Caenorhabditis elegans: one gene and its partner. The protein of the gene in region 1 purifies or fractionates together with the protein of each later gene. This does not show direct contact. Each region holds a gene or a part of one and is shown in the gene's direction. Other genes may lie near its edges.

What was found. The genes of interacting proteins can lie anywhere in the genome.
Region 2: the proteins of F45E1.5 (region 1) and Y71H2AR.2 fractionate together in Caenorhabditis elegans (co-fractionation; one large-scale study listed by BioGRID). This does not show direct contact.

Annotation. Positions count from the first base shown.
Region 1 is NC_003284.9:7,973,060-7,982,379, forward strand, and holds F45E1.5 (Rhodanese domain-containing protein), read left to right. Parts: upstream 1-3,640; coding exon 3,641-3,895; intron 3,896-5,118; coding exon 5,119-5,469; intron 5,470-5,514; coding exon 5,515-5,727; intron 5,728-5,774; coding exon 5,775-5,819; intron 5,820-5,868; coding exon 5,869-6,132; intron 6,133-6,575; coding exon 6,576-6,623; intron 6,624-6,668; coding exon 6,669-6,745; intron 6,746-6,796; coding exon 6,797-7,166; 3' UTR 7,167-7,676; downstream 7,677-9,320. Other genes in the region: his-71 (Histone H3.3 type 1), read right to left, coding at 8,487-8,671, 8,724-8,877, 8,924-8,995.
Region 2 is NC_003281.10:2,837,699-2,844,782, reverse strand, and holds Y71H2AR.2 (Peptidase C1A papain C-terminal domain-containing protein), read left to right. Parts: upstream 1-3,855; coding exon 3,856-3,926; intron 3,927-4,003; coding exon 4,004-4,399; intron 4,400-4,830; coding exon 4,831-5,009; intron 5,010-5,374; coding exon 5,375-5,628; 3' UTR 5,629-5,663; downstream 5,664-7,084. Other genes in the region: H34I24.2 (CUB domain-containing protein), read right to left, coding at 1-170, 235-387, 1,319-1,339, 1,391-1,762, 2,023-2,354, 2,575-2,612; josd-1 (ubiquitinyl hydrolase 1), read right to left, coding at 6,494-6,644, 6,901-7,043.

The DNA of each region.
Region 1 (9,320 bases):
ATCAAAAACTGATGCTCAATGGCGTCATCAAACTAATACAATTCGAAAGTTTGTCTATTTGAATATCTGGATTAATCAGCAAGGGGTTTTCTATAGGTTGACGACTTGGTCACGCAATAATCGGCTACAAAAGCCCAGAAAAATTGAATGATTTATCATAAGTCGTTTAAATTTATTTCCGGAAGCTTACAAATCCATTACTTACAGTGAAGATTTGTAATAATTGAGAATGATACATTTTTCACAGTCACTAGAAAGTTCCTTCAAACATACCGTATTTCACCTGTTAGTTTTGCACCCCTCTTTCTGTCAGAACAGCAATTCCTTGCGGAAACTTCAACAATTTCGTCATTTTTGGCTAAAATAAATTTTAAAGTGTGAATATAATTGATAAATTAATAAAAAGTATGTATTTTGTATGATCAGAATGTATCAAATCTAGTTGTTGATGAGAAATGGTCAATAGTCTTGCAGTCTCTATTAGTCTTGCATGCAAGACGAAAACAGAAATACTGTATTTTGAGCTTCACAATTAAGTGCAGTGTGCCACAGTAAATATTTAACTGGTAAAATATTTCAAAAAATTAGACAAATAACCTGTCACGATAGTTTTAATGCAAATTACCGTAGATGATTCTGATCCTTTTCTAAAAAGAAGTGGTGCTATACGTCCTACCAAAATTGCTATATAAACCGTCGAAACTGTAGTTAGAGCTACAACATTTATTTTCTCGAGACTACTTCAAATTATTTTCAGATCTTTTGTCGCTTATTTTGTTATATTATAAAATTGTTGTCCCAATTATTTTCGGCAATCCTTCTTTGTTTTTTGAGTATATGTTTTTTATGATTACTAAATTGTGAGAGCCAATTCACCACGATCAATTTTAGATCAAGAACTTTAGTGACACCAATTTCCCTTTTCCCAATAAACATGAACAACACGCGAACCACATTACTTTTTCAAGTATACTCCGACTACTCCGATTCAAATGATTACAAATATTTTGTGAGATTTTCATATTGTACATTCAAAGAAACATCAACAGCATTTCGATGACTGCATTTCTGACCAAAAGAAACGAATGCCATAAATCCATTCAGAACGGGCACATTCGCAGAAATGGCATCTTTCTTTACGATGCCATGGACACGTTTCTGCATTTACTTCTCAGTGTTTTTGTTCATATAGTCACACCTACCTATCAGGGGTGAGCGGAAATTGAAACTTAATTGCAATTGTTGAATTTTTCACATTATATTCACTTGCCAGTCTTTGTGAATTCCCACAACGCACACTGCGCCCGTCGCTTTGTGTGTAATAAATGTGATTGAATAGAAACACAATTTTTTGCTCTAAATCTACAGTTCAATCTCATTTCCCAAGGATCTGGAATGCCCGCCGAGCTTTTGAACCAGACATGTTTAATTTCTAAACCCATTTTGAGAAACGGTTAAATATGAGTTTAAAGCTATAAAATTACCGGAGTGAGCTTGCGACAAGCTTCTCGAAATGCTCAGATCTGCATTGGCGCTCTCAGGACATTCAGGTAGACATTATGTTTTTTTGCCAATGCATATCATTTTCTTGATTATAGAGAAATTTGAAAAATGTCTGGAATTTTTTTCACAAATCGAAAACTGTGATAACCGGAAGCATGCTTTATTTTCCGAAAACTTACAACTTTTTTCATAAAATCACAAAAATGATATCTATTGGCAAACATATAATATGTGCACCTTCAGACCCTTCCCAGTAACGCTTATTCCACTTGTGAAGATTTCAAATTGATCTTTTCAATTTCAACCTTATTCTCACTTTACATGAAGTTTTTTTTTGCAATATGTAATTGGATATCACAATTTAGTTCCTTGTAAGCCGCAAACAATTAATTTTTTGTTGACTTTTCCGGTAGAATTAGATCTCAGAGAAGGTCAATTGTTATTTTTAGAACAAACAAATACATTTTAGGATGTTCAACCTAGATATAAATCCGAGTTGCATTGAGCAATGTTGCAATGAAGTTTAGCCAAGTCGCCTAAGGGTTATTCCTTTTTTTTTCGTTTTGAATTTCAATTAAAAAGTTCTAGATAAAATATATGTAATGTTAACATACTTTCATTAGTTTTTGTTGAAATTAGACCTCATACACCAAAAAACTTGCTCTAACTATAACTTCAATTTTTTTGTTTTTACACTTCGTTTCACTTTCTCCGTGATGTTTCTCATTCCTCAATTTTGTACCTGTTTCTGTATTAACGTATACATTACAAACGTACCAATTTTTTGTATCAAAATGTGTTTTAATATTGTCTAAAATATAATTTTCGGGATTGTGTGTTTTTCTAATTTCTTGTTGGTTATAGACGGCTTTGCCGCAAACTTGCCACTTGTCTAGACCAATTTCTCTTGAAAATATGATCATATTTGAAAAGAAAGCCCGACTCTGGGTTTTCAAATGTTTTCAGTGCTCTATTGTGCTAATACAGCTAGGTCAGAGACTATAAACTAGTTACAACTTGACAGATGTTTCTATAGACACATGAAAGATAAATATTTCAGTACGTGTTCGGTGAACTGGAAATTCTCATTCACCGTCATCTAATGTTTTGTTCTATTTTCAATTTAGCTTAAGGATGACATGACATTGCTGAGCACATTACACTTTTCCTTGAAAGTTTTGATCTTTTGATTTTTATTCTCAATATGTTAGACTACTTGGTTATTTTTTCCTTTGGCTTACTAGTTTAGCTATAATTGTTAGTTTCATATTTAAACCTCTTGTTACCTTGATTTTAAAATTAGTGAGGAGAATGACCATTAATCTAGTTCAGACAAACGGCAACAAGCATTTTCAACTGATAAAATAGTTTACAAAGTGTTTACTACTTTTATTTATATGATAACGTTTCTATAACTGTTCTTGACAATCGTTTATGACGTCTTGAAACTTTTTCTTTTGGTCGAGTTTAATATTGCAACAGTTTAGCGGTTTTCCTTAAAACTAGCAACAAAACAGTCATAAAAGTGGGATCAAGAGATAACCCATTTATATTTATATTTGAGTAAAGAATACAATTATTTTAAGCTTCTATTTTGCGTATGCATTTTTTAGTGTATAACAATTGATAAACATGTTATTTTGTAATTCCACTTATAGTGTATTGCTTGAAGCAATATGAAGGAGAAATGTTTATAATCAGTCTAATTAGTGACCGAATAACATAACAAAAAATAGACAATTTTTAAAGATTTTTTTATTTGCAGTTGAAAGTGACAATTACTCACCTATCATAATCTTGAAAGTTGACCAAAAAAAGTCTCAAAAAAGTCAGAGTTTTAATTTTAACTATGATCATATTTTTTGATTGAATATTGTAGGACACAGACGTGTTCAAAATTATTCAAAATGTCCTATCTATGCTAATGTTAAATATTATGTATTTTTGGAATATCATTTTAAAAACATGTCCCGCATCATTTCTTTAAATTTTTCCAGATTTTTGTTCCACTCAAAAAAATGGGCGGAGCTGTACTACGTGATGTTATTTTTCACGACAAACTCTTTCCTCAGTGTTTCTCTTTGCAGTCTTTTTCTCAACTATTTTGACAAACAATCTTACAATATCATGTATTCAGATGGGTTCTAAAAGTTCGAAACCAGAGGGACAAGAAAACAAGCCTTGTTTCTTAGATGCTTCTCAAAAACGCAGAGAAGTTATTTCAAATCTTCCTGATGAATCGGAACATGACACCGACTCGTTGAAGGCTCAATCAGAAGGCCGAGGACTGAAGCACGTCCAATTTGTTGATAAGCTGAAATTCGATTGGGATGATCGTCCTTCACAAACAAATCCAGCACCACCCAAAACATTGGAAGATTATGAAATCGAAGTAAGTGCAATTATTTTGCAGCTTAACTAATGTTCAATATGTTTTTCTAATACCGTATTTCTTCTATAGTATGGCCTTCCTTTTAGACTTGCACTTCTTTTTAGTATTACACTTTGAAAACCCTCCAAAAATTAATATTGAACTACCTATTAGTGTTGCACTCCCTAATAGTCTCGCATCTACTTTTATTTCTGGTACAAATCCTCCTTTCTAATTTTAAGATTTTAACAACATTTTTGCCTATTTTGCAAAAATTTTTGACAAAATTTCTATAAGATTGAAGTTATTAAGCCTTTCTGTTTCAATTACAATTGAATGTTCTAAATTATCAAAAAAAAATTGGAGTTTTTCCAAATAAAAAACTAATAAAAATGTTCTGAAAAACAGTATTGCTCTTCCTATTATACTCCCTAACAGTATTGCAAGCGGGAATACCTTCGAAAAATAGTATTGCTAAAGCCATACTAATAGAAGAAATACGGTAGTTCAAAACATTTTTTTCAAATCTAGTCCAGGCTGTAAACTTTCTAAACTTTTTTAGTCGGCTTTTAAAACAACACCTGGACAAGTGTAGTCGTGAGTAAAACATAGAAAAAGTAAAGAACACTGGTGTGCAAACAGCAGACGTCTAGACTTAAAGTGTCGTTTTATGGGAACACGAGATCTTAATACTTACTAGAAATATGAGTCTGGCAAGTTGGTCTTTGGATTATAGGTTTCTTAGAAAACGAGTGAAAAGAATATCGCATGTAGTAATCTTTGCAAGTAGTAATTTCAACCAGCTAGTGGGTTCATGCAAGAGTTATTACATTGAGTTAGTAATTGTGTACATCAATGCATTACTAGTGAAGAAAAAGTTGGGAAACGTGCAAATTGATTTCAGGTGGATATTGAATGTGGTGTAGCTTACTTTGAGAATGCGCTATTCACTATTCTGTGATAAAACAATATGAATAAGTGTAAAATCAAAATAAAATTCTGTCTGTTTTAAATGCAATAGTTAGCCTCTTCATTTAATTTAAAGAACAATTAAAAAATTTCACAGATCGCATGAATTAATCCATCATTTGTATTTTCTCTAGTTTCGCACAGAAAATGTATACTTACCTGAATGCCGACTTAACCATACTTTGTCGTTAGAAATATTATAGACCCAAACTAACACAAAGATAGTACTTTTCTCATCTGCGCAGAAGTTTTATTGCAAATTAGTTAAATTACAGAGCATGCTTGGGGATGACAAGGACAATAAGACAGCTGATAAAAATGTAGTCTGGAAGCGTAAGGGACCTAAACACGGTTGTGTTCAGTTTTTTCGCAAAGAAAAGAAAGAAACCAACCTTGAACCAGAACCTCCTAAACATCCAGGCGCTGACAAGGCTGAGAGATGGCAAAAACAAACATGGAAAGTTTTCTCCGGTCCACTACCACCTTTGGTTAGTACATCGGGAATTGATGATGAAGAAACTGTTATCCTGAGCAAAGTTATTCACGAAGCAACTCAAGAAGCATGTATAGTGAAGACGTCGGATAACCCGGCATCAAGTGAGGAATTCAAAGTGACACCAGTTCATGTAACTAGCTCTTTGCAAATGACCTACATTTCAATTAAATTTCAGCCTACTAAAAAACCGTTTATAATGATCCATCAAACAAATGAGCAAGAAATCATGAAAACACAAGGAAGCTTTCGTTTGAACCAATGGCTCAATGTCAAAACAGATATTAATAGCGTATCATTGGAGAATTCGGATGATTCAATTTTTATGCAGATGTTCAATATCATTTCGCATGAACGAAATCGTCGATGGTATGCCTATCGAAGAGAACATGTAAGCAATTAGTGAATTTAAATAAGTTTTGAATTTTTTTTTTCTAGGAATCCCTGACACTGGAAGAAGCTTATTTGATTGGAAACGGAGGAGTAAGTTTTATTTTTAAACAGTTTAATTAACTTATTTCATGAAATTCAGTATCTTCCCGGAGAGACGAAACGTTTTGGTATAGCGGAGGTCGCAAGAAAAAAAATCAGTAACACTCTAAGAATCAACATGATTCCAGTTGTTCACAGTCATCAACCCGTTATCGGTGTCCCATTCAAAGGATACTTGCGCGATATTGTTGAACTACCAGAATGTTCAATGGAATTCATTCAAATCATCAATCAGCACCTCATGCCTCACGGTCTTCAAGTTATTGATTTGAGACGCAGATCAGAGGAAGTGCTCGGACAACCGGTAAATTGGACAAACATTTAATACAACTGCATTTGTCGACAGTTCGCCTCAACTTCTAAACTAATTTTAGATTTTTCCAATAGGAATTTCAAGTTTCTAATGTTGGTTGAGAAATTGTGCCGCATTGTTTCAAATCGATGGGTTACAAATGCATTTGATTAAATTTGCTAATAAGACTGTGGCCTCTGATTTATTGTGACGATCATGGTGAAATACAGTATAGTAATAATGTTATTAATGTACATAGCATATTTAAGCAAATTTCTGACCGCGGAACCTTTTTCGATAATGTTCTCAGAATTGTTATTGGGTTCACTGAATAATTCGTAAAGTTGTAAGAACACAAGACTAAAAGACATTACTTTTCCGGCCAATAATTTATTTTTATTAACCAGTTGCAAAATCAATTCGCGTAATCCAAATATACATAATTTTTATTTCAGCCATTATACCATGATGATTACGAGATGGCCAATCACACCATTGACGCAGTGAGTTCAACATTTTTAACAAACACAATATTTTTTTTTTCACAGATATCACGTTCAGTTGAAGCTCTCAATTCCATCAAAAACACAGCAAAATATTTCATCGTTTATGCTATTTATGCAGAGTGAGCCCTTCTAAAAAAAGATCGTATGCTTATAGAAGTTTCTAATTTTAGCACAGTACCAATGTACATTTACCAAGCAATTGTCCGATTCAAGCCTGGGCTTCCAATCAATTCAGCTGACTGGATTGACGATGGAAAATCGCGATTAGAAATTGAAGAACCAGACATGGAGCCTGTTAACACTCTTGACAGTGTTTGCTGGTTAATGCAAATCAGAGAGTATCGGTACAAGGTTGCCGCAGAAAAATCAAAATATGAGAAAGAATTGAAGCAGAAGCAACGTGAAGAACAAAAAGAGCAGAAAGAACTGAAACGGCAACAATGTGAAGAGTTGAAGAGACAAAATGTAAAGAAACAGCAAGTAGCTAGCATGTCAACTTGGAAAAAAGTGAAGACTTTCTTCAGAATTAAATCGAACTAGGAATAATTCGAAATAATTGTTGTGTTATTTGTAAAATATCGTTGTTAACATTCCTATCTCATTTTCTACAAACCTCTTTATTTTCCCATCTCTTTGTTTTTCTGTGTTGTTACTTCTGAGAATCAGTATATTTACCGAGCAATGCAATGAATTGACACACAGAAATGCTTCCAACAAAAGTTCAAATTGCATACTGTGATTTTAGTAACTCTTTTTCACGTTTTACTACATTAGTGAACCTCTTATTTTTCTTTTGCAGTAAAAAGTTGATGTTCCTGACAACTGAGTTAAATCTTGGTTGTTTTACATTTTGAATTGCATAATTCGCCGATTATTTATTCATATTTCTACATACATTTTCGGAACGTTTGTCCTTTTATTTATACTTCTGTCTGCAATAACTGAACCTTCAAATTCATCTGATTGTAATTTAAATTTGTTCCCGTTCACAATCGTATCAATGATTCCTCAAATGTTAACAGTTCCGCGCGTACGATCTTTAAAACAGTTTTTCGAAAACTGATTTGATTTTCTCAAGTGTTAAAGTCCTACTATCCAAGAGACAGTAAACTTCTTGATGTTGCCCGCTATAAAATTAGATGTTAAAATGGCGTAGTTCAAAATGTTTTAGTACTAGCACTCCCTTTTCAGTTTCGTTAGTTTCGAAGGATTTTTCTGAAAATTTATTCAAAGAACACAACAACTGAACAAAAAACAAACGTGTTTAATTACCGAAAAACCTATTGCGGAATGAATAAAAAGCTAAAATTCCGAAAAAAAAACATTTGACAAAATTTCAAAACATCCCGTTGCGAAGCTTTAACTTTTTGGGGCATTTTTTTGCTTAAAAGAGTAAACTACCAGATTTTGCTATTCCACCAAAAACATGGCATGTTTTCAAGATAAAAGTAACCTGGTCCAGTTCTAAAAATTCAGAATCAACTTTCAAAAAACGTTCAAAAATATCTATTTGAAGGAATTATGTCTGAGTCGGAATTTGTTGGCGCGCTTTATAGTTGTTAGCCTCTTTCGGTATCTTCAAAGATTTCAATTCCTGATTTTCATCAAGATTTCAATTATTTCTATTTATTCTCAACGATTTGATAAATAAATATGTTTAATCCCAACTCATGCACGCTGTTCAAAAACAAGGAAACACAAAATATTTACGTTTATTACTTTTTTGTAAAAAAAATAACATAGAATAACATGCACTCTCGGCTAGAATAAAAGAGAGATTAAGTTAAGAGATGGAAGATTTTAGTACATTGAGAGATACATAATAGATTATTCAGAGAGATTGGCGAAACAGCTCAACGTTTATGCACGTTCTCCACGGATGCGTCGAGCAAGCTGGATGTCCTTTGGCATGATGGTGACACGTTTGGCGTGGATTGCGCACAAGTTGGTGTCTTCGAAGAGCCCAACGAGGTAGGCCTCAGAAGCCTCTTGCAGAGCTCCGATGGCGGCGGATTGGAAACGGAGATCGGTCTTGAAATCTTGAGCTAGAATAAAAACAGTTGATTAATTAATAAAGAACATTACAATAAATATTACCGATTTCACGAACAAGACGTTGGAATGGAAGCTTGCGGATGAGAAGCTCGGTGGACTTTTGGTAACGACGAATCTCACGAAGAGCGACGGTTCCTGGACGATAACGATGTGGTTTCTTGACACCTCCGGTAGTTGGAGCTGACTTGCGAGCCGCCTGCAATTATTTCTTCGATAAAAAATAATATTTCATAATGACAAACCTTAGTGGCCAGCTGCTTGCGAGGAGCTTTTCCTCCAGTTGATTTACGCGCGGTTTGCTTGGTACGAGCCATTTCAATTCTGGTTCACCTGAAAATTATACGCAATATTGATAATAGAAGTCAGCATCAAAATATATGGAAAATGAGATGACTAAGAGCAAGCGAACAGCGTGAAAAAACGAAGAAAAGTGGTGTTTATGCGGAGACGCGCAAGTCTGTTATTATGCGACTCAACATGACCGCGACGCGGCACGCTCCGCCAGTGAATATGGAATCTTGTGACCATGTGAAAATTAGAAAGTAAAACTAAACTTGTGATTACTTTCAGAGAATTAGAGAATTTAGATACTAATGAAACTGATGAAAAAACATATCATAACTGTTAAATTTTATACTT
Region 2 (7,084 bases), on another chromosome or scaffold:
AGCCCCACTGGTTTGGTTAACTTGGTAATATCCAGTTAGATTATAGATACAGTTAGAGTTGGCTGGAACAACTGAGGAGTTTGTATTGTTGGAGTTGTAGCCAGGGGAGTACCAAACTCCTCTATTATTTGTGCCAATGGTGAAGTTAGTTCCAGCGGCTGAGCAGGCAACTGAAAAAATCCAGAGTAAAAAAAAACGAAGCGGATGGTTCTAAAATCTAAAAAAAAAGCTAACCTTGCTGGCACTGAGTGTATCCGTCCATATCTCCCGGGCAATTTGTGCAGTATGGTCTGTTGAGACTATCCAATTGGCATGGCCCGCTTCCTGTGCAATTAAATGCCAAACATGGATTTGGAGTAGTTGTTGGTGGTGGAGCAGTTGAGGTGGCTGCAAGTTAAGATTACTTTGCTTGATTCAGGGGTGGGCGCCAATTGCCGTTCGGAAAATCGAAAAATTGCCGGTTTGCCGAGTTGCCGGCAATTTGCCGATTTGCCGATTTGCCGGTTGGCCGGAAATTTTCAATTCCGGCACTTTGCCGATTTTCCAGAAATTTTCAATTCTGGCAATTGCCGATTTGCCAGAAATTTTCAATTCTGGCAATTGCCGATTTGCCAGAAATTTTCAATTCCGGCAACTTGCCGATTTGCCAGAAGTTTTCAATTCCGGCAATTTCCCGATTTGCCAGAAATTTTCAATTCTGGCAATTGCCGATTTGCCAGAAAGTTTCAATTCCGGAAATTGCCGATTTGCCAAAAATTTCAATTCTGACAATTTGCCGATTTTCCAGAAATTTTCAATTCTGGCAATTGCCGATTTGCCAGAAATTTTCAATTCCGGAATTTTGCCGATGTGCCGGAAATTTTCACTTTCGGCAATTTGCCGATTTGCAAGAAATTTCAATTCCGGCAATTGCCGATTTGCCGGTTTGCTGGAAATTTTTTTTTGCCGATTAAAATTGAAATTATGACATTTCCAAAAAAAATGTGCAAAACCAAAATTTCCGTTTTCCGGAAACTTCGGCAAATTGACAATTTGCCAAAAATTTTTAATTCCGGCAATTTGCCGATTTACCGATTTTCCTGAAAATTTTGGATTATTTCGAAAGTTTTCCGCTTGTTTTTTGTATAAATTTTCTTTAAAATTTTTCAGAATGAGTTTTTTCTCAAAACTTTCAAAAAATTTGCCGAAAAGACAGGGACAAAAATACAACCGTTGAAAATATTTTTTTAAAAAATGATATTTTTGTAGTAATCTAGACTATCGTTTCAAAGCTTTCATCCCTGTTAGGTGTTCTTGGCCTCCTTTCATTGCAACTTACTTGGTGGTGCTGGAGTTGTCGCTGAAAAAAATCACAATTACTAGAAAAAACCTCCACTGTTTCAGAACTCACGCTTCAAACATCTCTGATATAGACAATTGCCCTGCGCCGAGTTCACCTGACCGATAAACTTCTCCACAAACGTCAGAGTAGTCTGCGCGTCATTTTGCTGATTTGTGATCACTATGATATTATTTTGAATCGCGTTCAAATTTTTTTGAATACTATCCAGTAGGGCTTGAAGATCCTTAATCTTTTGAACTGCCTCATCATTGGCCTCCTTCACAGCCTTATCCTTATCACTGGCCTGACCTTGAAGACCTGAGAATTGGGTGCGCTCTGTGGCGACAGCAGATTGATCAGTGGCGAGAAGGACTTGGTTGTTGCCAGGAGCATTGAAAGTGTAGGTGCAAGAAGCATCCACGCATACCGGAGAGGAGAACTCTGAAAATTTGTGAATAGGTGTAAACGCCTACTTGCCTGCCTTCAAGGCGGCCTACATGCCATTCTATGTACTGCTAAAGTTGTCTTTGCATTTCACGTGGGCACTCGGTGTCTGATAGTCTTTCTACCTACGCGTGCCTTCCCGTCTTCTGCGCTGTTTAACCTACCTACGACTGCCTACCAGGCAGCCTACGACTGCCTACCAAGCTACCTACAGTGGATCTCGTGCCTACTTCACATAGCTATCTAATACAACTCACGCAAAAGACTGTACGTCACATTTGGAAGCGGTGCTGGTGTAGTTGGTCCAGCTGATACAGTAGACCCTCCAGAGGTCACTGGAGCCGCCGAAGAGCTTGATGGCTCGGCAGTGGTTGCTCCGGACGATGGGGATACTGTAGATACGGGTGCTCCAGAGGATGCGGCTGCTTGAGTAGTGGCAGATGGGTCAACGGAAGTTGGAGAAGCTGGAGCCTGGGATGGTGCTGCTGATGAGGAAGCGTCTGTTGAGGGAGAAGCTGCGACGGTTGTTGCTACCGATGAAGAATTTGAGGCTCCCGGGTCTCCATTGCCACTAACCAATGTGGCTAATCTGAAAAAAATTTGGAAAAATTATTGTTTCGAGAAAAATCAATACCTTTTCCAAGAAAATTAATAATTTTGGAAGAAAAATCGTCAATTTCTTGGAAAAATCAATATTTTCCATTTTAAAAAGTCGGCTAAAAATTTGAAAAAACTCGATGCTTCTTCTAAAAAACCCCAGTTTCTGGAAAAAATACGAAAAAAATCAAACAATTTTGCCCAAAACTTACAGTAACCCAACACATAACGCCAAAAACCGGAATTTCATTTCTAGCGACAAGAAGCCTGTGTAGAAACAGAAGTGATACTGCCGAAAATTTAGAAATTTGCCTTATCAGCTTAAAAAGGGCGTCGAATTGAATGATTTATGTTTGCTCCCCATCCAAAAATGTACTACCGTCATAATGCACAACTACTGATATATTTGCTGGTGATAAGAATGATTTATACCGTTTTTACGACGGCAATTTTAAACAGGAAGGGGAGTTTAAATGTGAAAAATGGAAGAGAAATTGACTGAAACGTGGTCAAATTTGACTGTAAATGAACCAAACATGCCTACATGCCTACAAATTGTCGTTTTAAATTCTGAAAAAACGCAAAATTTGCGAAAAAATGGCTACGGGAATTTTCGAAAAATTTAGTCTGAAGTCAGATATGAATTTTCAAAGTTTGAAAAATCTACTATTTTTGCATTTAAATTGACTATTCCAAATTAACTCAAAATGTGCTCAAAAATCCACATTTCCTGCTTGAACTCGGCAATTTCGGAAGTTGTTGGAATGCCGCTTTCAAATTCTGAAAGAACACAAAATTTGCGACAAAATGGCTACGGGAATTTTTGAAACATTTAATTTGAAGTCAGATATGAATTTTCAAAGTTTGGAAAATCTACTAATTTCGCATATAAATGGTCAGTTTTATTTAGGGCTGTACAAATCGGCGTCCGGTCGTCCGATTTTGACACCACCGGACGCACCGCGTCCGGTTTTGGGGTAGGTTTCCACGGCGGCCGACAATTTCCGAGTTTCGCCACTCACTATACTTAATCAGCAATTTTATAGTGGGTGGTGAAACTCGGAAATTGTCGGCCGTCGTGGATAGCTACCCCCAACCGGACGACCGGACGTCCGGTTGTACAGCCCTAGTTTTATTTAACCTCAATTTATACTCTAAAAGGTTTGATATCTCTAAAGGTATCTCTGCTTAAACTTGGCGGTTATGCGAGCTACTGAATCCAAACTCCAAAAAATGCCTACCTGTCTACATGCCTACATGCCTACATGTCTACATAGATATCAAAAACAAATCACACAACAAATAGAACCGAAGGAAATTACTTTACTACCACTTCAATTCTCTAAATCTCTCACTGAAAACAAGTTTTTTTTTGTTTTCTATTGCTGATAACTTTTGAACTTGACTGACTCATCATGAGGAATAAAATATCGTTAGCAATAAGTGGATATATAAAAGTTAAATGAAAATAGCAAGAAAATCACAAATTCTCAATGGTCAGTGCTACTAAATTAAGCTCGAAAGCAGATGAGGCGAAGAAGCAAAAAGTCTTCGTTGCAATGGGGTAAGTCTTTCTTTTTATACAAACGAAGAAGGCCTAAGCCTAAGCCTACGCCTAACATCGAAAGTAAATTATTCCAGAGAAGACTTGTTCGAAAAGCCAGCAAACTCGAGAAGCACCTTCAATTCCATTATCCTCTTCACTCTAACTGCGTTGACATTCTACATCATTGGTTCTTTAGTTCAGCAGAGAACCTCTGAATCACTCCCAACAAGATTTCAATGGGAAACCCCAATTCACATGGACCGAACCACTGAGGAATTTCTTGATTGGAGAGAGAAAGGAATTGTTGGACCAGTTAAAGATCAGGGAAAATGCAATGCATCCCACGCATTTGCGATAACTTCCAGTATTGAGTCAATGTACGCCAAGGCTACAAATGGAACACTTTTGTCATTTTCTGAGCAGCAGCTTATTGATTGTAATGATCAGGGATATAAGGGATGTGAGGAGCAATTTGCGATGAATGCTATTGGGTAATTGTTTTGGGTTGATTTAAGGTTTAGACCGTGATGAGCAATTGAAAAGCGAAAATTTTTATAGTGGCTCTGTCGTTTTAGAAATACAAGCTCGTGTACCTCGATGCCGGAAAGGTCTAGAAATTTCCAACCAGCAAACTGTTCTTTATTTCAAACATGATTAACATTTCGTTTATTAATTACGTTTATTAATTAGTCTATCCGTTTTTGAGACACGCAAATTTGAAGGTCATTAGACCTTGTCTTCAAATACCTAAATCTTTGAAGTTAATAGAGTGGTAAAAATGTGATCAATTGATAATAAATGCTTATGCAATAATGATAGGTAGCATTTGTCGTTTAAAACACCCATAAATGTGAATCGGAACCTAATTATTTAACAATTTTGTCAGATGAAAACCTTTAGCGCTAAATATTCAAAATTTCAGATACCTCGCCACTCATGGCATAGAAACAGAAGCAGACTATCCATATGTTGACAAGACAAATGAAAAGTGTACCTTTGACTCAACTAAATCAAAAATTCATTTAAAAAAAGGAGTTGTGGCAGAGGGTAATGAAGTACTGGGGAAAGTTTATGTCACAAATTATGGACCCGCGTTTTTCAGTGAGTTTTTTTTTTTTATTGGTCATAATTGTGCAAAAAGTAAATTTCTTGATAGATCATTTAAAGTTAGAGTAGCGCCAATTGGGATTTGGTCTAAATGTACTTATAATGATCCAAAACTACCGAATATCATAATAAAACTCTTTAAAAAATTTTAGTAAAAAATTTTTTTTTTGGTCGACTTCCAAAATTATGAGTGGCAAAAATTGAGTAATTGCCACTTTTTGACAGTTAATAAAAAATTTTCAAAAATTTTTTGAAAAGTTTTATCACGATATTTGGCCATTTTGGGACCAAAGGAGTGGTTTTTAACATATTCCCCACTGGCGCTACTCCACCTTTAATAGCAATACAAATATTTTCAGCGATGCGCGCCCCTCCATCCCTCTACGATTATAAAATCGGAATCTACAACCCATCCATTGAAGAATGTACAAGTACACATGAAATCCGATCAATGGTAATCGTTGGGTACGGTATCGAGGGAGAGCAAAAATATTGGATTGTGAAGGGCTCATTCGGGACATCGTGGGGAGAGCAGGGATATATGAAGTTGGCAAGAGATGTTAATGCATGTGCAATGGCAACTACAATTGCAGTTCTTACCGAGTTTGTATAATTTTGAGAATTGTTATTACGATAAGAATGAATATTTATCTACAGCGCGGGCTTCTGACTTCCTTTATATTTTGATATAGATCTCACTTAAAATTAAATTTTTCAGAATTTTTCTTCGGGTACTTGTTTCAAATTTTTGCTGTTTTTTATTTTCTTTTTCTCTTTCTGAATTTATATACCAAATTTTTTAAGTACCAGTAGCTTCCAGTTCAATCATAAAATCTGAATTTTCAGGCATAAGTTTGACCGTACTTTTCAAGATGTACCATAACCAATCATTTAGTTTTCATAATTTTAAAAATTTATATCTCAAATTAACTTTTTTCAGAATGTTTTTCCGGAGAACACCCAATATTTTTTAAACTTTACCATTTATGTACTTGGCGCGGATAAAAAATTTCGTCTTCTCATGTGGTGTCATAATGTCCCATTACGGTTTCATCTACGTTTTGATCTACTCCCATCTACAAAAAATGCGGGAGTAGAGTTCTCAAATGATTTTGCATGGTTAAGAACGTGCTCACGTACAAAAAATGTCGCATTTTATTGTGGATCAAACAGTGATGAGACAGCCTGACACCAGATGTCTTCCTAGGTTCTTGGCAGCAAAACAGTAAATCTAGGCCACCAACATTTTTTCTAGGCCACCACCATTTTTTTCTTGTCCCAGTTTATTGGTTTTTCAAACAAAATCTTTATAGAAACCACAAAAGTAATTTATTTACAAAATTATGCACACAAAAAATCTATCAACAAAAAAAATCACCCTGAAATGTATGGAAAAAAGAAAGAAAAATAGATGAAATTGCAATTTTTACACGATTTTTTAAGATTAAAATGAAATTTTAAGAAAAAAATTGATTTTTTTAATTTTTATCGACAACCGTCGCCTCGTCGACACTGTTTTCCACGACCAGCATCACTTCCGAATCAGGCGAATCCACGTGGATTTTCACAAACTTCCGAATATCTTCGATCACCTGCGGCTGTTTGATTTTTGAGTCGACGTTGTAGAATCTGGAAAGAAAATCAATAATTTTTGAAGTAAAATCAATGAATAATCGATAATTAATCGAAAAGATCGAAATTTTTTTTCAAAATATCGATAATTATCGAGAAATCCGATAATTTCTTTAAAAAATCGATAATTTTTAAAAAGAAAATTCAGTAATTTCTCATAGAAATCATCAATTTTTTGGAAGAATCGGTGATTCTTGAAGAAAAAAAATCGATAATTCTAACTTCCGAATTTATCGATTTTTCGGCAACTCACATTCCATTTTTCTGAATAACTGCAAACCAATGTCGTCCCCTGTACAATGTGAGGAGGGTCCGTGATGGAATATTAAAAACCACTGCTTTCACATTTTCCATATTGATTTTTTCGACTGAAACACGCTTGTCGAACCACATTACCTGGAAAAAATCGATAATTATTGATTTTTCGAAGATGCGGA